7 linked regions of the Canis lupus familiaris genome follow. The protein of the gene in region 1 interacts with the protein of each later gene in a biochemical or structural test. Links are inferred from orthologs where the notes say so. Each region holds a gene or a part of one and is shown in the gene's direction. Other genes may lie near its edges.

Evidence for each region.
Region 2: the proteins of SP1 (region 1) and KLF10 form a complex in vitro, tested with the Homo sapiens proteins (2 studies listed by BioGRID). The link is inferred for Canis lupus familiaris from reciprocal best matches to the Homo sapiens genes SP1 and KLF10.
Region 3: the proteins of SP1 (region 1) and JUN form a complex in vitro, tested with the Homo sapiens proteins (2 studies listed by BioGRID). The link is inferred for Canis lupus familiaris from reciprocal best matches to the Homo sapiens genes SP1 and JUN.
Region 4: the proteins of SP1 (region 1) and HDAC1 form a complex in vitro, tested with the Homo sapiens proteins (2 studies listed by BioGRID). The link is inferred for Canis lupus familiaris from reciprocal best matches to the Homo sapiens genes SP1 and HDAC1.
Region 5: the proteins of SP1 (region 1) and DDX5 form a complex in vitro, tested with the Homo sapiens proteins (2 studies listed by BioGRID). The link is inferred for Canis lupus familiaris from reciprocal best matches to the Homo sapiens genes SP1 and DDX5.
Region 6: the proteins of SP1 (region 1) and NR2F1 form a complex in vitro, tested with the Homo sapiens proteins (2 studies listed by BioGRID). The link is inferred for Canis lupus familiaris from reciprocal best matches to the Homo sapiens genes SP1 and NR2F1.
Region 7: the proteins of SP1 (region 1) and PSMC5 form a complex in vitro, tested with the Homo sapiens proteins (2 studies listed by BioGRID). The link is inferred for Canis lupus familiaris from reciprocal best matches to the Homo sapiens genes SP1 and PSMC5.

The regions. Positions count from the first base shown.
Region 1 is NC_049248.1:44,804,296-44,808,462, forward strand, and holds the start of SP1 (transcription factor Sp1), read left to right. Parts: upstream 1-1,367; 5' UTR 1,368-1,472; coding exon 1,473-1,479; intron 1,480-1,958; exon of another isoform or gene 1,959-2,366; intron 2,367-2,551; coding exon 2,552-2,706; intron 2,707-3,030; coding exon 3,031-4,167. UniProt on the Homo sapiens protein: Transcription factor that can activate or repress transcription in response to physiological and pathological stimuli.
Region 2 is NC_049234.1:4,353,188-4,357,178, reverse strand, and holds the start of KLF10 (Krueppel-like factor 10), read left to right. Parts: upstream 1-1,191; 5' UTR 1,192-1,323; coding exon 1,324-1,359; intron 1,360-3,253; exon of another isoform or gene 3,254-3,435; intron 3,436-3,475; exon of another isoform or gene 3,476-3,490; coding exon of another isoform or gene 3,491-3,496; intron 3,497-3,991.
Region 3 is NC_049226.1:51,325,633-51,328,811, forward strand, and holds JUN (transcription factor AP-1), read left to right. Parts: upstream 1-1,347; 5' UTR 1,348-1,563; coding exon 1,564-2,589; 3' UTR 2,590-2,679; downstream 2,680-3,179. UniProt on the Homo sapiens protein: Transcription factor that recognizes and binds to the AP-1 consensus motif 5'-TGA[GC]TCA-3'.
Region 4 is NC_049223.1:68,301,034-68,303,559, reverse strand, and holds part of HDAC1 (histone deacetylase 1), read left to right. Parts: intron 1-233; coding exon 234-326; intron 327-1,455; coding exon 1,456-1,564; intron 1,565-1,646; coding exon 1,647-1,787; intron 1,788-2,334; coding exon 2,335-2,443; intron 2,444-2,526. UniProt on the Homo sapiens protein: Histone deacetylase that catalyzes the deacetylation of lysine residues on the N-terminal part of the core histones (H2A, H2B, H3 and H4).
Region 5 is NC_049230.1:14,616,023-14,620,247, forward strand, and holds the start of DDX5 (probable ATP-dependent RNA helicase DDX5), read left to right. Parts: upstream 1-1,425; 5' UTR 1,426-1,453; exon of another isoform or gene 1,454-1,897; intron 1,898-2,077; 5' UTR 2,078-2,212; coding exon 2,213-2,256; intron 2,257-3,474; coding exon 3,475-3,640; intron 3,641-3,972; coding exon 3,973-4,069; intron 4,070-4,167; coding exon 4,168-4,225. Other genes in the region: CEP95 (centrosomal protein of 95 kDa), read right to left, coding at 1,168-1,186. UniProt on the Homo sapiens protein: Involved in the alternative regulation of pre-mRNA splicing; its RNA helicase activity is necessary for increasing tau exon 10 inclusion and occurs in a RBM4-dependent manner. Binds to the tau pre-mRNA in the stem-loop region downstream of exon 10.
Region 6 is NC_049224.1:15,771,465-15,775,642, reverse strand, and holds the start of NR2F1 (COUP transcription factor 1), read left to right. Parts: upstream 1-1,378; 5' UTR 1,379-1,473; coding exon 1,474-1,936; intron 1,937-2,242; exon of another isoform or gene 2,243-2,264; intron 2,265-2,438; exon of another isoform or gene 2,439-3,714; coding exon of another isoform or gene 3,715-3,727; intron 3,728-3,898; exon of another isoform or gene 3,899-4,050; intron 4,051-4,178. UniProt on the Homo sapiens protein: Coup (chicken ovalbumin upstream promoter) transcription factor binds to the ovalbumin promoter and, in conjunction with another protein (S300-II) stimulates initiation of transcription. Binds to both direct repeats and palindromes of the 5'-AGGTCA-3' motif.
Region 7 is NC_049230.1:15,140,696-15,144,647, reverse strand, and holds the start of PSMC5 (26S proteasome regulatory subunit 8), read left to right. Parts: upstream 1-1,152; 5' UTR 1,153-1,231; coding exon 1,232-1,255; intron 1,256-1,704; coding exon 1,705-1,776; intron 1,777-2,816; coding exon 2,817-2,886; intron 2,887-3,209; coding exon 3,210-3,307; intron 3,308-3,475; coding exon 3,476-3,532; intron 3,533-3,608; coding exon 3,609-3,839; intron 3,840-3,952. Other genes in the region: pre-rRNA 2'-O-ribose RNA methyltransferase FTSJ3, read right to left, coding at 68-114, 371-476, 647-713.

The DNA.
Region 1 (4,167 bases):
CACTGAAAATAATTTAGTGACAACACGAAGATACCAGGAGGGGCCGCAGGGAATGACCTCCGTGTCATTGACGACTCACCCAGGCCGCCTCCACCAACACCAGGGGAGGGGGGGGAAGCGAGGTAGAACGGGAGGTGCCAGAAACGCAGGTGTCTGAGGGGAAAGTGTCCTGTGACTTTGGTTACAAAGGCCCGCGCTCTCCTCCTGCCGTCGGACGGGGTGTGTGGGGAAGGAGAGGCAGGAAGTGGCTGACAGGACGCGGACTCTGGGAGGTCCTCCAGGCCCAGCTCTCGAGAAAGTCAGCGCCGCGGAAGGAAGCCGCCGGCCGCCGTCTGCGGGAGAAGTCGGGAAGATGGCGTCCGCCGGAGTCGCACAAAAGCCCTTGCGGACGGTCGGCGCGGGGTTGGCCGGGCGCGCGCGCACCCACAGGGCCGACACCCACACTCCGAGGCGCCCGCCCGCCCGTCCGCCCACCGCGGGGAGGGGGACGCTGGGGGGGCCCCCGAGAGAGCGGCCGGCGGGAGGCAGAGCCGCGCTCCGCCCGTCTCGACCCTGACACTTGTTGCGCAGCACGGCCCCACCGAAGCGCGCCACCTAACCACTGCAAAGACGTCCCCTGAGGAGGGCCAAGATGGCGGCGGCCTCCTCTTGGCACAGCCCTGCTCCCTCCCCCGCGACGGGCGGCTCTGGCGGCGCCCATTGGCCCCCCTGGGGGCGGGGCCTGGCCCCCTTCGCCGCCTCATTGGGCGGACCGACTGAGGGAGACGCCGCTTCTCCTCGGCCCACCCCAAAGTCCCGCCCCCGGAGTGCATTCGGCGTTCAATTGGCTTCTCGTTCACGTCAATTTGCGTCCCCGCTTGTCTTGTCTCAGCGTTGGCCCAATCCTAACTTTCCTGGCTGCCCGCCTGATTTCTGATTGGCTGTGGTCGGCTTCATCCTATCCCATTTCGGCCTGCTTCTTACCCCCTCCCACCGGGGACTTTGCCCAGGCATGTCCGGGCTTCTGGTTGGCCGATGTTCTGTCATTCCAACCTAAGCTCTCCCTATCCCCACCGTTCAGGGAGCCCGCCTGGCGGTTGACTGGCTCCCTCCCAAGCCTGTCATCACTAGCTCCCGCCCACCCCCACTTCCTGCGCCTTTCATTGGGCCTTAAAACTGAGAGGGCGGCCTCCCTGGGCGGACACCAGGCTCGCAACTTTGTCCTACACGCCTTAGAGAGCCAGTGAGCCTTGCCATTGGATGACCCACGCGTCTTTCTTCCGCAAGTCCCGCCTTTCTCCCTCCCTCATTGGGCGGGGCAGCAGCGAAGGGGCGGGGCCTAGGCCGGGCTTGTGGCGCGCTGCTCCCTCCTCCTTACCCCCCCCCTCCCTGTCCGGTCCGGGTTCGCTTGCCTCGTCAGCGTCCGCGTTTTTCCCGGCCCCCCCCAACCCCCCCGGACAGGACCCCCTTGAGCTCGTCCCTCAGCTGCCACCATGAGCGGTAAGGATGAGTCCACTCCACGCTTAGGGGTGGGAGGGGAATGAGGGGGCGCGCGCGAGGGCCGACCGGGCGGTCCCCGCCGTGAGGGGGGGCGGGCGGGAGGCGGCGGCGGCGGCCTTGGTCCCGCCCGGGGCGGAGGGAAGGGAGGGAGAAGGGGCAGTGGCGGGGCCTGCGAGAAAGCGGGGGATGGGCCGCCCGCCCCGGGGGAGGGGGCAGCGTGGCCTCGCCCGCCCCCTGCCCGCCCCGGCCACGGGGGACGGGCCTTACCCCCCACTATTCGGCCGCCCGCCTGAGGCTCCTCCCGCCGGGGGCTGGAGCCGCGGGGGCGGCCCGAGCAGTGCAGGCCCCGCCCGGGCCAACCGCCTCCCCGGTCCGCCCTCTGGTCGCCGCCTGCCCCAAGGCCCTCCCCTCCCCCCGTAGGTTTCCCCTCCCCCCCACCGTCCCGCCCTTTCCACGCCCCTCACCCCGAAACCGCCCTTTCCTTCCAGGGCCCGCCCTCTGTCCGCCCCGAAACCTCCAGATTCGTAACCCCTGGACCCCGTAGCCCCTTAGCCGTATCCACAAATGTTTCCCCACTCACACTTTTTTGTTTTTTCTTTCCCCTTTGCCCCTCTTCTCCTCGTGCTGCTTTTTACCCTTGAGTTTTTCTCTTTCTCTATATTCTTTGACCCTAATTTTAGCAAGCTTTCCATCCACCCACATGTTGTTCTTTGCCTTACCTATCCCTCTCCTTTTTATCCCCAGGATACTTTTTTTTATTTTGAAACTCTTTGAACATGTCCATCGCCCCTCACATTTCCTATACGAAAAGTACATTTTTAATGTTTCCTGGGTGTAATTTTGTGCCAGGGAAGAATTGAGGCCCAGTTTCAGCACTGCTAAGCCAAGTCTGTGTTCTATGTGTCCTACAATTGCCCTTTCCTCAATCCACTTTTTTTTTTTTTTTTTTTTAACGCTGGTGCCTTTCACCTTACTGTTAATTATTTGTTTCATCATAGCGTCCTTTATCCCTCCTAACCTTACCCTTTTCCTTCCTCCAACTCTAAGTTGTTTATCTTTTAATTCTTTTTAGACCAAGATCACTCCATGGATGAAATGACAGCCGTGGTGAAGATTGAAAAAGGAGTTGGTGGCAATAATGGGGGCAACGGTAATGGTGATGGTGCCTTTTCTCAGGCTCGAAGCAGCAGCACAGGCAGTAGCAGCAGTGGAGGAGGAGGAGGGCAGGTAAGTGATAAACCAGGGCAGAGTAGGGGAGATGTCTAGAGAATGTAAATATTCTTAGATTATTGTCTTTTCACAGAAACGTTTTTAGGAAAGCGCTAAACCATTTTGTAGCTAGGGAAGTTAGCACAGAGAGACAAATGATTGGGAGATCTCCAGAGATGAGGATTTCAGCAGTATGGATAGGTCAGCTTTTTGTTTCAGGTTTTTTTTTTTTTTTTTCCCTCTCTTTGGCTGCAGTTTTGCTGTTTATTTGTTTTAAAACTGCCCCCAGGGCTGGCAGCTGGGTGTCTCTGACTCCTATCCTCTCCCTTATTTTCCGGCCAGGAATCCCAGCCATCCCCTCTGGCTCTGCTGGCAGCAACTTGCAGCAGAATTGAGTCACCCAATGAAAACAGCAACAACTCCCAAGGCCCAAGCCAGTCAGGGGGTACAGGTGAGCTTGACCTCACAGCCACACAGCTCTCACAGGGTGCCAATGGCTGGCAGATCATCTCTTCCTCCTCTGGGGCTACCCCTACCTCAAAGGAACAGAGTGGCAGCAGTACCAATGGCAGCAATGGCAGTGAGTCTTCCAAGAATCGTGCGGTCTCTGGTGGGCAGTATGTTGTGGCCGCCACCTCCAATTTACAGAACCAGCAAGTCCTGACAGGATTACCTGGAGTGATGCCTAATATTCAGTATCAAGTAATCCCACAGTTCCAGACCGTTGATGGGCAACAGCTGCAGTTCGCTGCCACTGGGGCCCAAGTGCAGCAGGATGGTTCTGGTCAAATACAGATCATACCAGGTGCAAACCAACAGATCATCACAAATCGAGGAAGTGGAGGCAACATCATTGCTGCTATGCCAAACCTACTCCAGCAGGCTGTCCCCCTCCAAGGCCTGACTAATAACGTACTCTCAGGACAGACTCAGTATGTGACCAATGTACCAGTGGCCCTGAACGGGAATATCACCTTGCTACCTGTCAACAGCGTTTCTGCAGCTACCTTGACTCCTAGCTCTCAGGCAGTCACTATCAGCAGCTCTGGGTCCCAGGAGAGTGGCTCACAGCCCTCCACCTCAGGGACTGCCATCAGTTCTGCCAGTTTGGTATCATCACAAGCCAGTTCCAGCTCCTTTTTCACCAATGCCAATAGCTACTCAACAACTACTACCACCAGCAACATGGGAATTATGAACTTCACCACCAGCGGATCAGCAGGGACCAACTCTCAAGGGCAGACACCCCAGAGGGTCAGTGGGCTACAGGGGTCTGATGCTCTAAACATTCAGCAGAACCAGACATCTGGAGGCTCTCTGCAAGCAAGTCAGCAAAAAGAGGGAGAGCAAAACCAGCAGACACAGCAACAGCAACAAATTCTTATCCAGCCTCAGCTAGTTCAAGGGGGACAGGCTCTCCAGGCCCTCCAAGCAGCACCATTGTCAGGGCAGACCTTTACAACCCAAGCTATCTCCCAG
Region 2 (3,991 bases), on another chromosome or scaffold:
CCCAGGGGTCGGAGGTGGGACTGTGGGGGAGCGGAGGGCGGGCGGCCCTTGAGAGGGCGCGGTGTGTCTTGGAGCAGGCGGGCCTCCCCGCAGCAACCCCACCCCCGGGCGCGCCCGCGCGGGCTCCGGCGACCCTAGGAGACCCCTCCCCACAAGCAGTTTCCAGGCTGGGTGTTTCTGGAGGCCTTGGCCGGGCGGGGGTGGGGGTCTACCTTTGAAACAGCTTGCAGACTGCAATTTAAACTTTACATCGAGCTCAAAACTCGATTCCGCAACCAAGCGTCGTCAGAGAAGGATAAATACCCGGGTCTGCAGCCCCTCATCACTCCATTGGGCCGGTTCTCAGGGCTTCCTGCAGTCCTCGCGCCGTCCTCCCGGCAGCCTGGAGGAAGGATGGGCGGGGAGGGCAGGGGCGGGCACTGCTGCCCGCGCTGCTGCAGGGTAGGGCGACCCGCGCCGGAGGTCGGGGCGTGGGCGGGGGGCGCAGGAGCAGGTGTCGGCTCAGTGACAGGGTTCCCTGCCCTGCCCTGCCCTCCCCGCCCCGCCCCGGGGCTCCCCACAGCTCAGCGAGGCAAAACCCAGCAAACGCTCGAGAAATGCAGCTCAGTCGGTCAGCGACTCTGCTTTCTTGCCAGACGCCTAAGACGCCTAAGAGGACGGCGCTTCCCAATGCAAATCTCTTGGCTCGGGCCCCCGGGCTAGCAGCCACCGCCTCCCCCGCCCGGCTGCCCGGTGTCCCGCCCACCCCGCGGCGGGCCGAGAGGGGCGCGGAGCAGAGGGGACGGGGCGGAGCGGGCATCCCTCCCCACCTCCCACGTGGGCCCGGCCCTCCGCAGAGCCTGGGCGCGCCGCCGCCGCGCCTCCGGCTGGGCCCCCGCCCGCGGCACCGCCCCCTCGGCCGGGGCGGAGGACAGCGGGGGGGGGTGGGGGGTGGGCGAGGGCCGAGGGGGTGTCGCCGAGTCAGGTGGCGGCGGGAGTTCCCTCGGGCAGGGCCGAGGGAACACGCTGCCGGGGATTGTGTACACGCTCCACTGACACAAGCTTCACGCTGCCGGGCAGCCGCTGATCACGCGTGGCCCCGGGAGCCCATTGGCCGGCGCCTCACACACCTTTGTCGCTGATTGGCCGGCCGCAGGCTCCGCCCCCGCCCCCGCCCGCGGCGCGGGGCAGGCGGAGAGGCTACCTGAATGGGGAGGGGGCAGACGGCGCGGCGCGCGGCGGCGGCGGGAGCGGCGTCGAGTGTCTCCGAGCGCCCGTCCGTGGCCCGGCAGCCAAGCAGCGCAGCAGCCAGTGAGCTCGCCGCCGGCCGCCAGGCAGCCAGCCATGCTCAACTTCGGCGCTTCCCTCCAGCTCGCTGCGGTAGGTCACCTGGGGATGCCCCTGTCCTTCCCTTCCTCCGCGTCCGAGGGGCGAGCCGGGCGCCAGCCCCGAGCTCCGGACAGCAGCGGCGCCGACGACCGGGGCTGCCGCGGAGTCGTGGGGGAGGACCGGGCTTTCTGCCTGCAGACTGGGCACTGGGGAGGGCGTGTGTGCCGCGGAGTGGGTCAGCACGGGCGGATCGGGACCTGGGGACCAAGGGACAGGGGCCTTGCCCAAGGTGTGAGGAGGAGGGCCAGGGGCAGCTCCGCAGGGGGACCTGAGGCAGGTGAGGGGGAGGATGCCTGCAGGGGAGCGCAGCGGGGAGGGGCCTGCTGCCCCGGCCGCGGGCCCGGGGAAGGTGTAAGAGGGCAGTGCGGGGATGACGAGGAGGCCCCCGTGCACCTGGCGCCGGGAGCGACGCCGCCGTCTGGACCGGGAATGCGACCCTGGGCGGGAGGCGCTGCCCGGGCGCTCGAGGGGCGGTGTGTCCCCGGGAGGGGCGAGGGGCGAGGGGCGGCCCCTCTCGGGGGTCTCGGCGGAGGCTGGTGCCGGGGCTGCGCGGCCGACCGCGGGGCCGGGCCGGGCCGGGCGAGGGGGCGCCCGGCGTGGGCGCGGAGGAACGGCACGTGGGCCGGGGCCGCCGAGGGGGACGAGGAGGTGCGCCCCCGCACGTCGGCAGGGGCCCCCGGGTCCCGGCGGGAGCCAGTGACCGCCTTTGAGGACCCCCGGGAGGGGAGGGCGGAGGGCGGAGGGCGGAGGGCGGGAGCCGGCAGCGGGCGGGGGACGTGGGCGGGGGAGCCGGGCCGCGAGACGCGGGGGTGCGGGCCGCGGGGCCGCGCGTCTGGAGCGGGAGTCTGTGGGGGCTGCACGTCTGGGAACCTGTGGAGACTCCGCGGGCGGAGACGGAGCTGCCGGAAACCGCGGGGAGGGGGCGCGGCGTCTGCGGGGAAGACGGGGTGGTCTGAGGTCCCGCGCGCGGCGTGGGCGGGAAGCGCCGAGGGCTCGGCCGGATCCCCCGGGGCTGCGGCCGGGAGGGGGCGGGGGCCGGGCTTCCGCGGGGACCCGGCTCCTCCTCCGGCAGCCGAGGCGGAGGCCGGGGGTGGGCCGGGAGCGGCTGCGCCCAGGGAGCTCCTCGTCCCCGGGTGACCCAGCCCCGGCCTCCGCCAGGGGCGGCAGCGAGGCCCGGCCCCGCTGTCGGTTCCTAAGGGAACGGCGGCTCGGCGGGCGCGGGGAGGGGCGGGCGCTCCCGCTGCCGGGGCCGGGGCCGGGGCCGGCGCCGGCGCCGGCGCCCGCGGCCCCGCCCCTCCCCGCGGGCTCGGGCGCGCACTGCCGGGCGGTTGGCGGCGGCGCCCGCGGCCCCTCCCCCGGGCCGGCGCGAGGGCGGGGGCCGCGGGCTCAGGAAGTAGGTGAAAGGTGACGGCGCGGCAATTCCCAGTTCACGTTTCCTGCGCGGCCCGGAGCAGCGGCTGATCACGCTTTGTTCACATGCCGCGCCCCCTCCTCCCCCGCGCCCCCGCCCTTCGCGGTGCAGCCAATCCGGGCCCGCGCCGCCGGGCGGGCTGGCCAATGGCGGGGGCAGGGGCGCGGGGACGTGCGAGCGGCGAGGAATGTTCCCGGTGACTCACCCGCGAGCCTCGTTGAGGTTAGGGCGGCCCCATCCGTCTGTGCTCGCCAGCGAGGATCTCCCCCGCCGGCCGCCCCCGCCGCCGCCCCCGCCCCTCGTCTGCCTCCCCGCCCGCGCCTCCGCCCGCGCCTCCGCCCGCCCTTCCCTTTCCTGCCTCCCGCCCCACTCCCTTTCCTCCCCTCCCCGCCTCTCTTCCTGCCCTTCCCAGCTCACGCTCCCCTTCCCCGCTCGCCTGCCGTTTCTCCTTTTCTTTGCCTCGGCGGCCTGAGGCTTTTTGCACCCACCCGCGCTGTCCTCTGCAGCTTGAAGGGGCGCGCGGTTACGCAATAGCGTTTTTACTGAAATTCCCAGAGCAGTGGCTCCTCTTCTAAGGATTTCAACACGAAGCGTGTGTGCGTTTCTTTAGAGCAAGCCCTGAGAAGAATACTTTGCAACGCAAAGAATGCTTTTCGGTATTTTTACACAATCTCTACTCAGACCAAAAGAATGAGATCACTGTAATGGAAAATGGAGGTGATACGTAGTACCGTTTTCTAAAGTGCAGTTTAAGGAACTTTAATAGGAAGCATTGAACAGTTGGTGGAATCTGGAGTTGTACAAATAAATGCCAAGCGTGTGCTGTCATTCTTCTAACAGTTATTTTAAAAATTAAAATATGTTCGATTGGACTATTGTAGACTCAGTACGGTCAGTTTTTGCCAATTCTGGGTAGAAGATTACATTTTATGATTGGCCTTTTTTTTTAAGTAGTATTGCATTAGCTGGTCATAGTTGTGCATAACAAACCATTGTGTTAAATAGATGTAGTGAAAAGGAACACAAATATGAAGAACCTGAAGTTTAGATAAAGCTTTGGGATTTTTCCCCCATATTTATCTTTACCAGAGATAATCAAGCTGTGAAGACATTTTCAAGCTATGAAAGATTTCGAATAACCTAATGCAGTAATTTTAAAGAGCCACTGAAGATTTCTCTCCTGTTGATTTTATCATAAAGTGCAAAGTACCT
Region 3 (3,179 bases), on another chromosome or scaffold:
GGGAGCCACCTTAAGGGCGGTGCTCCCGCCCCCCGGAAGTGCGGGGGGGGGGCGGGGGACGCCGGCCCGGAGCTCGGCCTGCAGCCGCGGCAGGCGGCGCGGCGCCCGCGGAGGACCTCGAGCGCCCCGAGTGGTGCACCCCTCCCCGCACCCCGCGCGCCCTCGGCCCCGGGCACCTGGCCGGGTCCCCGCGCCTTCCCGCCAGCGCCCTGAACTGGAGCCCGCCCGGGCCGCGGGAGCCCGCGTCCGCCCGCGTCCGCCCGCGTCCGCCCGGCTCGCGGCAGCCGCCGTCACCCGACAGTCAAATCCCAAGACGTCAGCCCACAATGCACCGGGCGGGCCGGGAAAGACGCGCGGCGGAGGAGACGGGGGCAGAGCCGGGCGCGAGCCGCGCGGGAGGGGGAGGGGGGAGGGGGAGGGGGAGGGGGAGGGGGAGGAGGAGAAAGAAGGGCCCAACTGTAGGAGGGCAGCGGAGCATTACCTCATCCCGTGAGCCTCCGCGGGGCCGGAGAAGAATCTTCTAGGGTGGGGTCTCCATGGCGACGGGCGGGCCCGCCCCCTGGAGAGCGACGCGAGCCAATGGGAAGGCCTTGGGGTGACATCATGGGCTATTTTTAGGGGTTGACTGGTAGCAGATAAGTGTTGAGCTCCGGCTGGATAAGGGCTCAGAGTTGCACTGAGTGTGGCCGAGGCGGCGAGGTGGGAGTGGAGGAGCGCGGACTCGGGGAGGCGGGCGGCCGCGGGCAGGCGAGACGGCCGGAGAGTCCGGGCTGCAAAATCCGCTTTCCGTTTTGCATTTTCCTCGCCGACTGGCCGGAGCTAGCGCCTGTGGCTCCCGGGCTGGTGTTTCGGGGAGCGCCCGGAGAACCCCCTTCTCCAGCCGCCCCCGGGAGGAGAGCCCCGCCGCCCGGGAGCCGTGACAGCGCGGAGAGCGGCGACAGGTCCGTCCGCGCAAGTGCAGAGAGTGGCTGCGGCGGCTCAGAACTTTCCTGGCCGGGAGCACAGGGGACGAGTGGCCCGGGTCCCGGAGCGAACTTTTGCAAAGCTCTGCCGCGCCTGAGGCTGCGGCGGCTGCGGCGGCGGCGGCGGCGGCGGCGGCGGCGGCCGGGACGAGAGAGGCGGCGGCGGAGCGAGGAGACCGCGGAGGGACGTGCGCTCGGCGCCCCTCGCCCCGGTGGCTGAACTTGGGCGAGCGCGAGCCGCGGCTGCCCGGCGCCCCCTCCCCCTGTCGCCGCGGGGGCGGGCCCGCGGGCCCCCGGGAGCCGCCGCGCCCCGAGAGCGCCCCGAGCGCGCCCCGTGGGTGACCGCGACTTTTCCCCGAGGCGGGCAGCGCGCGCGCCAGCTGACCCAGGAGGAGCGCGGCGGCGGCCGGAGCCGGTGAGCGGGGCGCGGGGGGAGGACCGCCGGCGGGAGCGCGCGCCCCTCCAGAAACTTTCCTCTAGCCCAGGGCCGCCCCCCCCACCCGGGAGGCGCGGGGGTCCCCCGCTCGCCAGCGCGCTGTTGCGGCCCCGAAACTTCTGCGCGCAGCCCAAAGTAACCCCGCGCGAAGTGACGGACTGTTCTATGACTGCAAAGATGGAAACGACCTTCTACGACGATGCCCTCAACGCCTCGTTCCTGCAGTCCGAGAGCGGCGCCTACGGCTACAGTAACCCCAAGATCCTGAAGCAGAGCATGACCCTGAACCTGGCCGACCCGGTGGGCAGCCTGAAGCCGCACCTCCGGGCCAAGAACTCGGACCTGCTCACCTCGCCCGACGTGGGGCTGCTCAAGCTGGCCTCGCCCGAGCTGGAGCGCCTGATCATCCAGTCCAGCAACGGGCACATCACCACCACGCCGACCCCCACGCAGTTCCTGTGCCCCAAGAACGTGACGGACGAGCAGGAGGGCTTCGCCGAGGGCTTCGTGCGCGCCCTGGCCGAGCTGCACAGCCAGAACACGCTGCCCAGCGTCACGTCGGCGGCGCAGCCGGTCAGCGGCGCGGGCATGGTGGCCCCGGCGGTGGCCTCCGCGGCGGGCGGCGGCGGCGGCGGCGGCGGCTTCAGCGCGGGCCTGCACAGCGAGCCGCCGGTCTACGCCAACCTCAGCAACTTCAACCCGGGCGCGCTGAGCAGCGGCGGCGGGGCGCCCTCCTACGGCGCGGCCGGCCTGGCCTTTCCCGCGCAGCCCCAGCAGCAGCAGCAGCCGCAGCAGCCGCAGCAGCCCCCGCAAGCGCCGCACCACCTGCCCCAGCAGCTCCCCGTGCAGCACCCGCGCCTGCAGGCCCTGAAGGAGGAGCCGCAGACGGTGCCCGAGATGCCCGGGGAGACGCCGCCCCTGTCCCCCATCGACATGGAGTCGCAAGAGAGGATCAAGGCCGAGAGGAAGCGCATGAGGAACCGCATAGCTGCCTCCAAGTGCCGGAAAAGGAAGCTGGAGAGGATCGCCCGGCTGGAGGAAAAAGTGAAAACCTTGAAAGCGCAGAACTCGGAGCTGGCGTCCACGGCCAACATGCTCAGGGAACAGGTGGCACAGCTTAAACAGAAAGTCATGAATCACGTTAACAGTGGGTGCCAGCTCATGCTAACGCAGCAGTTGCAAACGTTTTGAGGACAGACTGTCGGGGGCTTGAGGGGCAACCGAGAGAGAGGAGAGAGAGAGAGAGAGAGAGGAGAAAAAAAAAAACCACACACACACACAGAGAGCGAGAGCGAGAGAACTTGAGAACTTGACAAGTTGCAAGAGAGAGCGAGAGAGACAAGAAGTGTCCAAGGACTAAAGCCAAGGGTATCCAAGTTGGACTGGGCGGCGTCCTGACGGCGCCCCCAGTGTGCACGAGTGGGAAGGACTTGGCGCGCCCTCCCCTGGCACGGGGCCAGGGAGCGGCTGCCCGCGGGCTGCCCCGCTTTGCGGACGGGCTGTCCCCGCGCGAACAGAACGTTAGACTTTTCTTTAACATTGACCAAGAACTGCATGGACCTAACATTCGATCTCATTCAGTATTAAAGGGGTGGGGGGGGGGGAGGGAGGGGGAAGGGTTCCAAACTGCAATAGCGACTGTAGATTGCTTCTGTAGTACTCCTTAAGAACACAAAGGGGAGGAGGGGGGGTGTTGGGGGAGGGGAGGCGGGAGGGAGGTTTGTGAGAGCGAGGCTGAGCCTGCAGATGAACTCTTTTCTGGCCTGCCTTCCTTAACTGTG
Region 4 (2,526 bases), on another chromosome or scaffold:
TGGCTCCATAAATAGTTCTCAGCCTGGGCGCAGGCTCAGTGGTGTGTCCAGAGATGTGAGCCTGTGTGAGGGATGGTATTAGCCAAGATGCCCCTGTTCTGTCCCTGGCTCAGCTCCAGGGCCCCACCTGTCTCTCTCAGAACCACTGCCTCTTTCCTTAGCCTTCCAGCCCCCATCTTGAACTTCTTCCTAGCTTCATCTTTCACTATTACTTTAATGTCCTTCTTGATTAGGATATTGGGGCTGGCAAAGGCAAGTATTATGCTGTTAACTACCCGCTCCGAGATGGGATCGATGACGAGTCCTATGAGGCCATTTTCAAGCCGGTAAGTGGCTTATCCACCACCCGGGCTGCAATCAGACTTAGTCTGAGGGATGGGTAGCAAAGTACCTCCAGCATACCTAGGTACTTCTCCCCCAACCCCGAGAAGCTGATTGGGAAATGAGATGTGTTTTGACCCTGGATTGTATGCTGTGTGGTCAGCTAGGGGAATGAAATTCATGCAAATATTTATTGATGCCTTCTGTGGGTCAGGCCCTCTGTTGGATACAAGAATATCTAAGACATGAATCATACCCTTGAAGACCTCACAGTCTACATTGCGGGAGGCAGGCACATACACGACAGCGTGTGGTCATTACTGTTTTTGCAAGATGAACAGAAGGGTGGGAGACAAATGGCTGCCTGGGCTGGGGGGAGGGTAGTCAGAGATGACTTCACAGAGGTGGTGATATTTGAGCTGGACTTTGAAAAATGAGTTGCCTATGTAAAGGAGGTGGAGGCTGGAGAGCAGGGGTGGCATTCAACAGGGGGAACAGCACCAGCAGAAGTACAGAGGTGCCTGTATGTAGCTGCATCTAGACTAGTTCAAATATGGGAGGACCATTGAAGGATGTGATGGGAAACATATGTTGGGGTCAGGATTTCAAAGGGGGCCTTGAATGCTGAGCTGAGGAGTTAAATCTTTGCCTGTAAGCCACAAGGAACCATTACTGGCTTATTATTAACCTAATAGGGTCAGGTAGTGAAGTGCTTCCTATATGCCTTATAGTAAGGGTAGCAGCGAAGCCCAACATATGGTCTTTGTCCTAGGTGATATCAAAATCTTGTCAGAGTGAGAAAGATGAAAGTGAGTGCCCCCTCACAATATGAGGCACAGAGTCTGTAGGACTGAAGGCAGATGCAGCTGACAGTCAGAAGTGGCACTGGAGCTTGGGCAGTGAAGGAAGCAAAAGATGAGGCTGTTCCAGGTTCAGCATTACTAGAGCTAGAAAGATCTTGGAGAGCCTTTCAAATTGGAAAATTGAAATCCCAGACTGATGCTCCCTACCACCCAGCATGAGGGAGAGTGGAAAGTAGGAGTAAATGATGCCAAAGTACTGCACCCATCCTTTGCAGCCCCAAACATCACATAACCTCTTCAAGCTGGTGGTTACCGGGATGTGTCCTTTTAGGTCATGTCCAAAGTGATGGAGATGTTCCAGCCCAGTGCGGTGGTCTTACAGTGTGGCTCTGACTCCCTGTCTGGGGATCGGTTAGGTTGCTTCAATCTCACGATCAAAGGTGAGGCCAGGTAGCATAGGGATGGGTGGGCAGGGTCCTGCTGGGTGCTCCTGTAATCCAACAAACCCTTTCTTCCCCGAAGGGCACGCCAAGTGTGTGGAGTTTGTGAAGAGCTTCAACCTGCCTATGCTGATGCTGGGAGGAGGCGGCTACACCATCCGTAATGTGGCCCGCTGCTGGACATATGAAACAGCTGTGGCCCTGGACACGGAAATCCCGAATGGTGAGAGCTCCAGGGCCAAGCCAGGCTGGGCTGGGCACAGCTGAAGCTTGTGTTTCCTCAAGTTCACAAGCCGTTTCCCACTAGCTGTGTGGCCTCCCCTCTTCTGATGCTAGTCATCGATTAATTCTCCTGCCTATCCTCTTGTGATAGTCAGACCACCAGTTTTTCCTGAGTCCTTTCTTGACCCTGTCCTCTCTCCCTCCTGCTTCTGGTCTAGACAGAATTATCAGTGGTTATTTATAGCTTTGGAATTTCTACTCTGTAGGGGATCTGGGATAGTCAGTGAGGAAATGCTCCCAATGGGCATTGCCTAAATTTTTCCAAATTGGGCTTGTGCCTCTTCTCATTGTGTGTATGTTGGAGGGTGACACTGGAGAACAGCATTAAAAAGATTGAAACCCCACTAAGTACCCAAGTCTCACCATCTCAGAGGCATTCTTCTGTGTTAGATGGTTGGGCTGACAGGTCCAGACAAACCTACAAATGCTTTTTTCTTGGGGTCCTGTGGCAGCCAGGTCTCTTGACTCCTATCTCCTGCCCCAATTAGAGCTTCCGTACAATGACTACTTTGAATACTTTGGACCAGATTTCAAACTTCACATCAGTCCTTCCAATATGACCAACCAGAATACCAATGAATACCTGGAGAAGATCAAGTGAGTATATCCCCATGCACCCCCTGATTGAACATTCCAGGCTCTGGTTTGTCCCTAACCAGAGCCCAGCCACCCTCTCTACC
Region 5 (4,225 bases), on another chromosome or scaffold:
TGCCCCAAAAGGTGGTGATTAATTCAGGCTGTTAAAAAACTGAAGTAATGACCCCAACACTGCAACATTTGTTTTAGTTCTTTAAAAAAATTACATTTAATGGAGGCGCCTGGGTGGCTCGATCGGTTTAAGCCTTTGCCTTCAGCTCAGGTCATGATCCCCGCAGGATGGAGCCCCCAAGTCTGGCTCCCTGCTCACCGGGGAGTCTGCTTTTCCCCTTGCTCATGCTCTCACTCAAATAAATAAATAAAATCTTATAAAAAAAATAAAGTCAATGAATAAGAAGTAAAATACAGGCAATACACAAAGACATCCCTAAATTCAGAACTAGCACATTACCAACACTGTTGGAAGTTTCCTGTGTGCCACCGCACCCCACCCCCAGATACGGTCGGAATTAGCAAGATTATTTCACGACTTTCTCCAACAAAGGTAATTTCTAAAGCCTGACCTATTTGCTCCCTGATACAATTTAAGGTGGTTAAGAAGTCCTTCTACTTCGTATTTGACGAACTGAGCGCGTTCAAGGCACGTTATCTCCCTGTCCCCGTGCCCACTTCTCACAGCTGACCAAACCACGAGCTGGTTTGAACGCTGTCCTGAGGAAAGGATGAAAAGAAAAGCGTCCCGGACAACCCAACCCACTCGGTTTTCAAAAGCGGTTGCTAGACAATGCAGGTAACTCCAGAGGGCACTGAAGAGAAAAATCCGCCACTATCCTACTGTGGCAGGAGCATCAGCAGATCTTTAGAGTGCCGTTCCCCTCAAAACTTCAATGCACATGGAGGTAACGGCCTCAGTCCCCACAATCCAAGAGGCAGAGAGCGCGCTGACAGTGGCTGGATGCCCCAGAGAAACACGAGTCCCGGGAAGCAGCTTTCCGACTGCCCTTTTTGCAGCCAGGTTGCGGGCGTGCTGCGGGCCTCGCCACGGGGTTCTTCTCTCCACACCCCAAGATCTCGCTAGATGGCCTCTAGGAGGGGGACCCAGAGCGGGGCCAAGAAACCCACGGAACCGCCGACTGCGACTGGGTGTCTGTCACCAGCCCCGCCGGCAGCCCAGACCCAGGGAGTCCAGCCGGAGGATTCGAGATAAAAGGCCTAGGAGCGTCCGGCGGACTTAAAGGGTTTCAGTCCACACACACCCGGGCTCCGGGCCGAGACTCACCAGCCTCTGAGCCGGCCATGTCACGGAGGCAGGTCGCTGCCGGACTTCCAGCTGGGCGCGAGGCGGACGGCGTCCGGGAAGGGCCGCACAGCGCAGACGCAACGCCGAGGTGGGGGGAGAACGAAACGAAAGGGCAGGGGGTGAAAGAGGGAGGGACGTTAAAACGGCTTCTTGCTGCTGATTGGTCATCACGGGAGGACTTCCTTTCGCAGCACGCGCCCAGGCGGCGGTTTGTGGGCTCTAGGTACCATTCTCCGCGGGCAAGATCCCGCTGAGGGATTCTCAGGTGGGTGGATTTGACAGGCCGGGTCACCCAGCGGCCCTGGCCGGCCTCCCGGGGGCAATAGTACGGCACTTCCGGCGAGCTATTTCGTTTCGTATTCCTCCGCCGACGCCAAGTGGAGAAGTAGTGCGGTCCGCTTACCCGATGGGCGGGAGCAGTCACGTGACAATGTCAGGCTCCGCCTTCCCGTCTCACTTGGTTAGGGGCGTGAAGGCTCTTCGGAGACGTAAACATCTCCAAGTGGGCTGAGTGGGTTGGTCTGTGCTGGCCATTTTGTCGGCAGGGCTAGACCTGGGAAAGGGCGGGGTGGCTTCCTTGAGGTGTGGAAAGACGAGAAAAAGGTGAAGAACACAGAGTAGGCTAAGGCGTCTCAGTGCGGGTGGGCCCAGCCGTGAAAGGGGCCCCAAGCCGGCGACTCTGAGGGAAGCGGAGGGTGGGGGTGGGGCGAGAACATGGCGGATCCCGGAACGCCGGCGGGCGTTGCGGCCTCTGCGCAGGGGCGGGGTGATTAGGTCATAGAGCGGCTCCCAGCATTCTCCGCGGCGGAGGAGGCGGTCCAGGCTATAAAACCGGCTGCCGGGACGCGGCCGGCACCTCATTCATTTCCACCGGTCTCTTGTCGAGCAGCTCCGGCCCCTGTCATCGCCGCCCCGCTGCCGCTGCCGCCCCCGCAAGGCTTTGCCATCGCCAAAGCCACCTGCAGCGACTCGTCGCACCCGATTCTCTTTACTTCGTTCCCCGCCAACCGCAACCATTGACGCCATGTCGGGTTATTCGAGTGACCGAGACCGCGGCCGGGATCGAGGGTGAGTGTGGGAACGGACTTGTCAGGCCCGGCAGTGGGGGATGGGAGGCCGATGAAGGAGGCGGCGGGCGGGGGCGATGGACAGTCGGCTTTTTCCGGCTATATTTAACCTTTACGAATCGAAGGCTTGCGCCATTTTGATATTTGTCCGGAACTGACAGAGGGATGTTTCCCTGTTAACGGTCCTCAAGCTCGCCTTTTGTTGGTGGGGGGATGGGGGAGGCGCCGAAGCCCCCGCCCCCGCCGACTGAGCAGCTGTTGGGGACAATTCGGGGGAGTGTATTTCAATGGTTGGAAAGCGCGACGCTTTCAGGAGAACGAAGTCACCGCTGTTCGGTGCATCTTTTCGGGAAGTGTTGTAGGGGCCCCGGGAGTTCTGTGGTAATCGAAGGGGTCGCCTCACGAGCCATTGATGGCGCGGGAGCAGGAGGGCGGCCGGCACCGCGGGAATCGGCCATGTGGCTGAGCCGCGGGTACAAAATGCCGGCGCCGGACATGGCGGCGGCGCCTTTGTTACCCCGCCCGGCGGAGGAGCTCAAAATGGCAGCGTCGAGAAAATGTGGCGCAGAGAGAAATGCGAGACAAAGGGGGAAGCGCCGCCCCAGCGGGAACGCCGCCCGGTCCGGGACTCCTCCCCCGGTAGTTGCCAGCTCCTCCTCCTCTTTTTCTTTGCGTTATATAATTTTGCTATCTTGATGAGGAGCCCTCCGGGGGGATCCCCCCAATTCGATGGGCTTGCATAAATGTCTCTGAGACCACCGTCCTTGTTCTGTTCTCGTTGGTGCTGTCCCATTATTCCTTAGAACCAAAGCTGCTTGGCTTGGAAAGAGCTGATAATAACATTGCTGTTACGCACCTCCCTTGTATTGTCTCTCCCCCAGACATTTAATGCCTAAGCTCACGGGAAAGACTAGGAGCCACAAGCTGTTGTCTATCCTTGTAATCTGAACATGGGGCGTTTGGGCAGCCAATTTCCGACCTGATAAATCCCGGGCTGTTGATTTGGCTTCAATAGTGTGTATTTGGGACAACGGAAAGTGAGAGAGATGGTGCTAATTGTGGCTTTTGAGAGCATGACCCATCACTAAGGACAGTGCTAAGTCTTAAACCTCGAAAAGTCTTTCATTTATCTGTACTGTGTGTCAAGGGACAATAAATAGTCTGTATGTAAACGTCTTAGTAGGTAGTTGAAAATATAACTTTTTTGTTTTAATTTCAGGTTTGGTGCACCTCGATTTGGGGGAAGTAGGGCAGGGCCCCTATCTGGAAAGAAGTTTGGAAACCCTGGGGAGAAATTAGTCAAAAAGAAGTGGAATCTTGATGAGCTGCCCAAATTTGAGAAGAATTTTTATCAAGAACACCCTGATTTGGCTAGGCGCACAGCAGTGAGTAATTTCACAGGGCTTCCTTGGGCTGTAACTCAACAGTGACTTTTAGTAAACAGAAATTTGAACAGAGGCCTTGGAAAACTCATATTTTCTGATAGTCGAGGAAGAGGAGGTGCTTTGGCAAGTGGTATCTTTGAATTTTTCTGTTTAGAGTGGTTAAATATAACTACAATAGATGGATCTTGTGCTCTGTAGGTTTTCTATATGTGGATATAGATTTTAAATGGCCCGTTACAGTTTGCTAATCCTTGATAAACTTAAGGCCTGCTGACTGCATATTGGTGAAGGTTGTTATGGTACTTAGTAGGTTATTAAAATTTGTTTTATAGCAAGAGGTGGAGACATACAGAAGGAGTAAGGAAATTACGGTTAGAGGTCACAACTGCCCAAAGCCAGTTCTGAATTTTTATGAAGCAAACTTCCCTGGTAAGTGCTAGTTCAGAGCACTCACTCCCCCCCCTTTATTAATTTCACCCTTTTTCTTAGCTTCACTAAATTTACTGAATTACTGTTGCTAATTACAGCAAATGTAATGGATGTGATTGCAAGACAGAATTTTACTGAACCCACTGCAATTCAAGC
Region 6 (4,178 bases), on another chromosome or scaffold:
CTAAAAAAAGAACATTTTTGGGCGATCTCCAGGGTTTTTTTAACTAGCTCTGTGTGTTATAGCAGAAGAAGCAGAAGAAGGAGCAAGAAAGAGGAAAAGAAGAGGATTATTTATTCGACCTACTTTGGATGTCTCTCGCTTTTTTTTTTTTTTTAAATTGCGATTCTTTTTCTTCTGATTTTTATTTTTTCGATTTCGCTGCGAATTCGTCGCCGGCGTGAATTATCTCGTATTTTTCTCCCTCTCCGTCACCTCCCGAAAGAAGAAGGCAGCGAGAGCCCGGCGCCACCGGCACAACAAAAAGAGCAAAGTGTGTGATCCTCGTCGCCGGCTGCCTCCCTCTCTCCGGCGCTGCCTTCCTGAATGGCTGGCTGCGTCCAGCCCTGGACCTGGCCCCCCGACACCAGCGCGCCCTGATCGCCGCCCGCAGCCTCGCCCCGCGCCCTGCTCGGCTCTCCGCGCTCCCCTCCATCCCGAGCCCCGCCAGGGCTCCCGCCGGGACAGCGGCGGCGGCGCGGGCGGCCCCGACCCGGGCTCGCGCTCCGGCTGCGGCCCCGACTCCAGCTCGGACTCCGGCCCGGGCCCCGGCTCCTCCAGCGGCGCTCGCCGCTGCAGCTGAGGCGGCGACTCCAGCGGCGCCTGCAGCCGCGACCTCCTCCTCCTCCGCCGCCGCCGCCGCCGCCGCCGCCGCCGCCGCCTCCGCCGCCGCCGCCGCCGCCGCCTCCTCCGCCGCCGCCGCCGCCGCCGCCGCCGCCGCCGCCGCCGCCCTCGCCGGCTTCCTCTATGTCGGCTGAGCCGGCGCGCAGCGTGTAGCCCGAGCGGCCGGCGGGCGGGCGGGCGGGCGCCCGGCGCGGGTGAGCGAGTGTGTGTGCGAGTGTGTGTGTGTGCGCGGGGGTGCGGGCGAGGCGGAGGGCGAGTGTGTGCGCGCGCCGTGGCCCATGCCCGCCGCCCCCGGCGCTGCGCCCCGCGCCGCTCCCGGCTGCCGCCTGTGCCATTTCTGATTTTGCAACTTGGGGAAGAAGAAAAAAGCGAGAGAAGGGAGAGCCTGCTCGGCTGGGGGGGGGTGGGGAGGGGGGGGAGAAGGAGAGCGCGGCCCCCCCAGGATCGGAGCGCGGGGGGAGCGGGCGAGGGGAGCAGGGGTGTTGGGGGGGGAGCCAGAGAGCCTGGGGGGGCTGCAAAAAGAGAGAAAGAAAACAGCAGGAACCACAACAAAACGCCAGCAGGGCGGGCGGGCGCGCAGCAGCAGCGGGGCGGCCGAGGCAGTAGCGGCGGCGGCGGCGGCGGCGGCGGCGGCGGAGGCAGCGGCCGGTGCCCGGCTCGGGCTCGGCTCCCGCGACCCCGGGGCGCCCGGCGGGCCCCCCGCCCCCTCCCCCTCCCCCCTTCCCCTTCCCCTTCCCCTCCCAGCGCGCCCGCGCGCCCCGCGGCCCTCGGCGAGCAGCTCGGCTCCCCCCAGCGCTCCCCGGGCCCAAAGATATGGCAATGGTAGTTAGCAGCTGGCGAGATCCGCAGGACGACGTGGCCGGGGGCAACCCCGGCGGCCCCAACCCCGCAGCGCAAGCGGCCCGCGGCGGCGGCGGCGGCGGCGGCGAGCAGCAGCAGCAGGCGGGCTCGGGCGCGCCGCACACGCCGCAGACCCCGGGCCAGCCCGGAGCGCCCGCCACCCCCGGCACGGCAGGGGACAAGGGCCAGGGCCCGCCCGGCTCGGGCCAGAGCCAGCAGCACATCGAGTGCGTGGTGTGCGGGGACAAGTCGAGCGGCAAGCACTACGGCCAATTCACCTGCGAGGGCTGCAAAAGTTTCTTCAAGAGGAGCGTCCGCAGGAACTTAACTTACACATGCCGTGCCAACAGGAACTGTCCCATCGACCAGCACCACCGCAACCAGTGCCAATACTGCCGCCTCAAGAAGTGCCTCAAAGTGGGCATGAGGCGGGAAGGTGAATATTTCTTCTCTGCTTCTTTCCCTGAGCTTCGCCCGCCTCCCCGGCCCTCTCTCTTTCTTTCTCTCGCGGGGGTGGCTGCTGTCTGGGGCTGGAGCTCCTGCGGTCCCGGCCCCGTCCCAGCCTCCCCTGTCCCCGCTGCCTTCCTCCCCCGGCGTCACCCCCCCCCCTCCCCAACCGAGCTCGCTGCCGCTGCCTCCCCCTCCCGGCCTGCGCTCCTCTCCCTGGCTCCTCCACCCCTCCTGCTGCCTGCTCAGGATTGTGTCCCTGGGATCGTGAGCTGTGGCTTAAAATCCCTTTACTTCCTCTGTCTTGGATGTGCTCGGTGTGTGTCTCTTTCCCGCGTGTGCGTGAGGATGCTTGGGGGCTGTGCTGGCATGAACTCGGGGAGGGGGTGCTTATTTCCCCCCCCCCCCCCAGAAAACTCTTGTGTGTGTGTGTGTGTGTTTTTTTTCATTCCACTTTCCCCTCCACCTCTTCCTTCATCATACCCTTTATTTAAAAACTGGGGAGGGCCGGGGACTGGAGGACCCTGAACCATGGATTCATTGCTGCATCATCCTTTTGGAAGCTTAGCTTGGAAAAAGAGGAGTGAGATTTATTGCACTTGTAGGTCTAATTAGGGGGGAAAGGGGGGCTTCTGGCCTGTTCACTGGTTCCCTCTCCTCTTCACCGAGCTGGGGCCGCCTCCTCCAGAGCTGTGGCCTTGTTTTCACCCCTCTACTTTGAAAGGAAAGTTTGTGACTGAACCGTCCTTTCATAGTTGTGTCATTTTTTTAAAAGCATGATACTCGTTTTATTTCTTCATCAAACTCCACCCTCCGCTTAAATACTGCATACAAATTACAATTTACAACGGCATTTACCGATCCTTCTGATTTGGCTATAATGCATAGACTGCAGCTGGCATGAGCTTCCACTTCATTTAATCTCTGTGTTGTGTGGGTTCGGTTTCTTTTAACACAACTTTTGATGTTGTATTTAGATATGCTTCATGTTCATGTGGCAAGGGATGCAGCACTTTTCTTATAAATATATTTAGCCGTTTACAGTTAAAGTTTATCTCCTGACAATCATTAAAGATGTCTTACAGTCAAATTAGCGAACCAGTCAATTTTGCAGAATGCAGATTACTCCTTCTTGTAATTGACTTTAAAATTATATTTTATATGCCACAAGAAAAGAAATTGAATTCCTTCAGATCTCAAGGAGCAGGCAAATATGACGACTTCATTTCTAGCTCCAGGGAGATTTTGTAGGCATCTGAAAAAAAAAAAAAAACTGAATTGTGCTCTCATTTAATTGAAAAATAACTGCCAAGTTCAAAACTATAATTAGAAAAAAGTATTCTAGCTGTTATGTTTCAAGAGCTTAAATTGCATTGGGGCTTGCATTAAAATTAGAATCAAAGCAAACTTAAGAAAATAGTGCACAACCTGAAATAAGACAGCTATGTGTACATGGACATATCTATATTAATTTGTTGAGGGGGGGGGAAGAGTTCAGTAGCCCTAACTTTTCCTAAAGTTGTCTTTGTTTACATGGCAATTTAAAACGCTGGCACTGTTGAAGTAAAACATACACATTAAAAAAAAAAAAAAAACTTTGGTCAGCTTTAAGAACTCAAAGCATGCTTACGTTTTGCATTCAGATGGTTAATGAATCCAGTGTTTTTGCAGTTGCAAGCTCGTGCATTCACTGGGCAAAAGCTGGCTGCAGGTTGCAGTGGCACCTCACAGGACAGACATTAATTATATTTCCCACTTTTTTCAATAATGTTTGGCTACTGTAAGTTCAACTCTTTTCTTGGAATTTTTCAATTTTCTGTTGCTTTTAACAGTGAACTTTGTGTGGGGCGAAGGGGAGGAGGGGGCAGGGGAGGGGTGCAGGATACTTGTTTTATATTCAAAAGTTGTAAGTGGTTATGTAACTTGTATCTATTTTAAGGATAATTCTATAGCATTTTGAGAGAATATGGAAACATTTTGAGCAAAACCCTGCTTGCTTGCAAATGAAGAGGCGGCTAGGCGTTTGCCTAGAACCACAACCTTTCTCTGGTTTCGCCTGTTCTTTTTTGTTTGTTTTACTCTGATTTGTTTCATTCTGGAGGGGTGAGTGGGATTTCCCTAAACCTGTGTGCTGCACCTTGGTGGTGGAGGGCTTGGGTGGCGCTTCCTTGGCCTTGCCGGACCGGGGTTGGGGGGCGGGGGGGGGGGGGAGGTGTCCCTGCGCTCAGGCC
Region 7 (3,952 bases), on another chromosome or scaffold:
TGCAGAACACAATTAGTATCTCATTCTCCCACCCCTTTACCACTCAGGGGGCCCATCCGTTACTCACCCACAATAAGGCTGGATACAGGCATAAACTTAGCAGCCACCTGCAGCCTAGAAAAGAGTAATGCCGACTAAAATAACTCAAGACTACAATAACTCAAGACCGTTCCTCCCCCTCCCTTGGCAATAGGCTCTCTCACCGCGTGCCTTAAGAGGCGCTACCAAGTGCAGTGCCCCGACCTACGTCTAGGAAAAGCATGAGACTGGTATTGCCGTATCCCTCCCGCCCCCCAGTGCCACTCCAAGTCCTCCACGGCCGGGACCCTCAACGCAGCCACAAAGAGCCGCAGGTGCCGGGTGTACCCACCATCCCCCGGGCGCAGCACACAGGTCCAGCAAGGCTCGTGCTTTCTGCAGGAACTGAAAACGGCGATTCAACTGGATCAGCTTGAAAGCAGAGCGGGAGCGGTAACCTGGGGGCACCGACAAAATGTTAAACTCGGCGGGGGGCTTTCCCAGGGAGATTTCTGCGACTTCACAACCCACCACCCCGTCTACAGAACGGAAACTCAGTATTCGGAAAGGTGGGAGAGAATCGAAAACGTCCCTCCTTAGCTCGCAGACAGCGCGGACCCTGACTCACCGGTCTCCTTCGCCAAGTGATAGAACTTGTCCCGCCGGCTCTTCCCGACTTTGCCCTTCTTGCCCATAGTGGAACGGGAGGACTGTCACTTAACCTGGGGACAGAAAAATTGAAACGCCGCTTTCCGTCCCCCACTTGTCTCTGCAAGCACGGGGAATCTCTGCCTTTTTCACCACTCTGAGAGAGGCACGTGGGGGGCAGCACACGTACTTCCGTTTCCGCTTGCGTCGCTTGCGTCTCCGGCTCCAAGTTTCCGCCATTTTGAGCGTGGCCGAAAAGTTTTCTTTATGTCCTTAAGTATTGCAAGTTGGAAGTTGGGACCAGGTGAGCGGATTACCTGATCTAAAACTGAGTTCCTAGAGAGCAACATTTAGGAGTTCCGTGGCCTCCTCATCCCTTTCCAAGCTCCTGACCTCGCGTAGCCACCTTCTCATCATGGCCTCTGTTTTTGTAGTCGTCGCGACGCACACCCCGCCCATTGACCCGGAATTCTTCTCTGTCAGGGTCGCCGGGCCCCAAGCCCCTATTTTTGCGCCTGCGCGCCAAGGTGGCTCGGATGCCGGCGGCCGCCGTGGGTGAGAGAAGATGGCGCTTGACGGGCCGGAGCAGGTACGGCGGCTGCGGTGGCCGGGTGGGGACGGGGCCTCGATGCGAAGCAGGCGCGATCCGAGGTGGGCAGACGGCCGAGGCAAGGGGGTCGGGTGGGTTGGGTGGGTGGACCAATCCAGACTGGGCCCTGCGCGGGACCGGATCTGCTGTGTCAGCGCCGCCCGCGGCGGGTCAGAGCAGGGCCGGGAGAGAAAGACCCGGGGGAAGCGGAGCGAATGAGGGGAAGATGGCTCGGTACAAAGCGCTCTCGTGCATGTTGTCCCTTGATCCTCCTGAAAGTCTTACGAGGTAGGCGGCATTCTCCTTCTGCTTTGAGTTAGTCGCGGGGAAGTGGAGGGTTCTAAAGAGATGACTGAGGAATTCAACCCAAATCCCATTCCTCCAAAGTCCAGGCTTTTTTCCCTTGCATTTTGGGGGTTGGGGGGCTAATAATTACCCTGTGTCTTCAGATGGAGCTGGAAGAGGGGAAGGCAGGCAGTGGACTCCGCCAATATTATCTGTCCAAGATCGAAGAACTCCAGGTGAGGATGGACTACAGAGGCAGCTAGGAGGGGATGAGGGACTGGAGTATGTTTATATAAACCCACGTAGTCCGGTGGGGGCGCAGTGGAAGAAGTAACTGGTCAAGGATAGGAGTATATGAAGTTAAGTTTCTTGTTTCTCTCACTTCTCACCCTTTGAAGGTAATCAGTATACACGGTTTATTACACATCGTTGGCTGTCAGATTTTGACGTAAGAGGTACTCTTTGCCAAGTACTATTCCTTTTAGAAGTTTGAATTGAGGGTTTCTTATAAAAGGTAACGCGGAAGCTGGGATGAGACGTAGCACACGGGCTGGGACAGGGTGAGAGCGAGAAGGGAGACCGAAACTCCCAGTTGGGATAATGCGGACCCCATGGGACTGAATAAAAGGAGTTGGGCCACCCAGTGCCTTAGCCTGAAGAGGGGGCAGGGACCGTAGCAATAAGGGAAATATACACACTGGATGAAAGAAAGTCACAAGGACGGTTTCTGAACTCCTGGCGTATTTGCAGCTTTCATATTCGGTCTATGATTTTTGAAGTGCCTTTACATGGGATTTCCTTTGTTCTTCACAATAGTCCTGAGAAGAGGCAGGGTAGGGGACGCTAGATCTACTTCCAGTTTGGTAACATCATGACTTTTTTTTTTTTTAACATCGTGACCTTTTAAATGGTTTCCCTTAGCTTTAGCTACCTGTTAGTTGGCAGCGGTGGGCTTAGAACTTAGGCTTTGGACTCAGTGATGTTCCCACTCTACCATGTTATTTTCTTGCAAGGAGTTGACTATGTGAGGCAGCTGTGACTTTTATCAGGGCTTGCTATTCCTGGTCCATTATTAGGGCAACTAGTCTTTTTTCATGGCTGCTCTAGGCCCCAGAGGGACTCCTGGAGGAAAGGATAGTCTTTAAGATCATATCGGACAGTCTGGAACGTGCAGGTGGCCCCGTGCTCTTCTGTCACTTAGCTCGTACCAGCCTGTGAGGATCTTGGCCAAGACCATAACCTCTTGTTGTTTTCTGCTGTTTCTTGTCCTCCGTAGTTGATTGTAAACGATAAGAGCCAAAATCTCCGGAGGCTGCAGGCACAGAGGAATGAGCTTAATGCAAAAGGTGAGAAGGGAAAGATGGGAAGGCTGCATTTGGCCAGTCTGTCCAAGGTCTGTCTGAATCTGCCTAAATTGAGACTTGAGACTTCATGTTTGGTGCTTATTGTTTCTCGTATAGTCCAAGGTTACACTTTACACCGTTACGTAGTTACGGGCAGGGACCGCATGCCTCTCCCCATTGTAACCCCTTTAGAAATTAAATTCTGACTTTATTTTTGTGGTCTTCTAAAACTTCAAATTGGTGCTTAATTCATGCCTGTCAAATGGAGTCGTGAGAGAAAGGACACTGAAGAAGCTGGGTGACCCCTATGTCTGTTTCCCATCCAGTTCGCCTATTGCGGGAAGAACTACAGCTGCTGCAGGAACAGGGCTCTTATGTGGGGGAAGTAGTCCGGGCCATGGATAAGAAAAAAGTGTTGGTTAAGGTAAAAGCACGATTGACCCCCAGAGAGCAGCCCAAAGCCCAACGCATTCCCACACGTGTGTGTAGCATTGCCAAGACACTCTTCTATTATTTTAGGACTCCTGGGTCTTCCTGGGCGAGGTGGGTAGTTTGGTGGTTGTCAGGAAAGGTCACGAACCCGTTTCTGTAGGTGCATCCTGAAGGCAAGTTTGTCGTAGATGTGGACAAGAACATCGACATCAATGATGTGAGTGCTGCAGGTGAGGTGGGAGGTTGGGCTCAGCTCTTAGCACACTACCTCCTAAAACTCTTCTCTTACCCAGGTGACACCCAATTGCCGGGTGGCTCTAAGAAATGACAGCTACACTCTGCACAAGATCTTACCCAACAAGGTAGACCCACTGGTGTCACTGATGATGGTGGAGAAGGTGCCAGATTCAACCTATGAGATGATCGGTGGATTAGACAAGCAGATAAAGGAGATCAAAGAAGTAATTGAGCTGCCTGTCAAGCATCCTGAGCTCTTTGAAGCACTGGGCATTGCACAGCCCAAGGTGAGAAGCAAGATTTCTATGGAAGGGTCATGCTGTTACTGGCATGTCCTGCCCTTGCCAAAGTGAGTACAGGGCTCAGGGGAGGTGTCTGGACCCCCACTTAATGCTGGCCC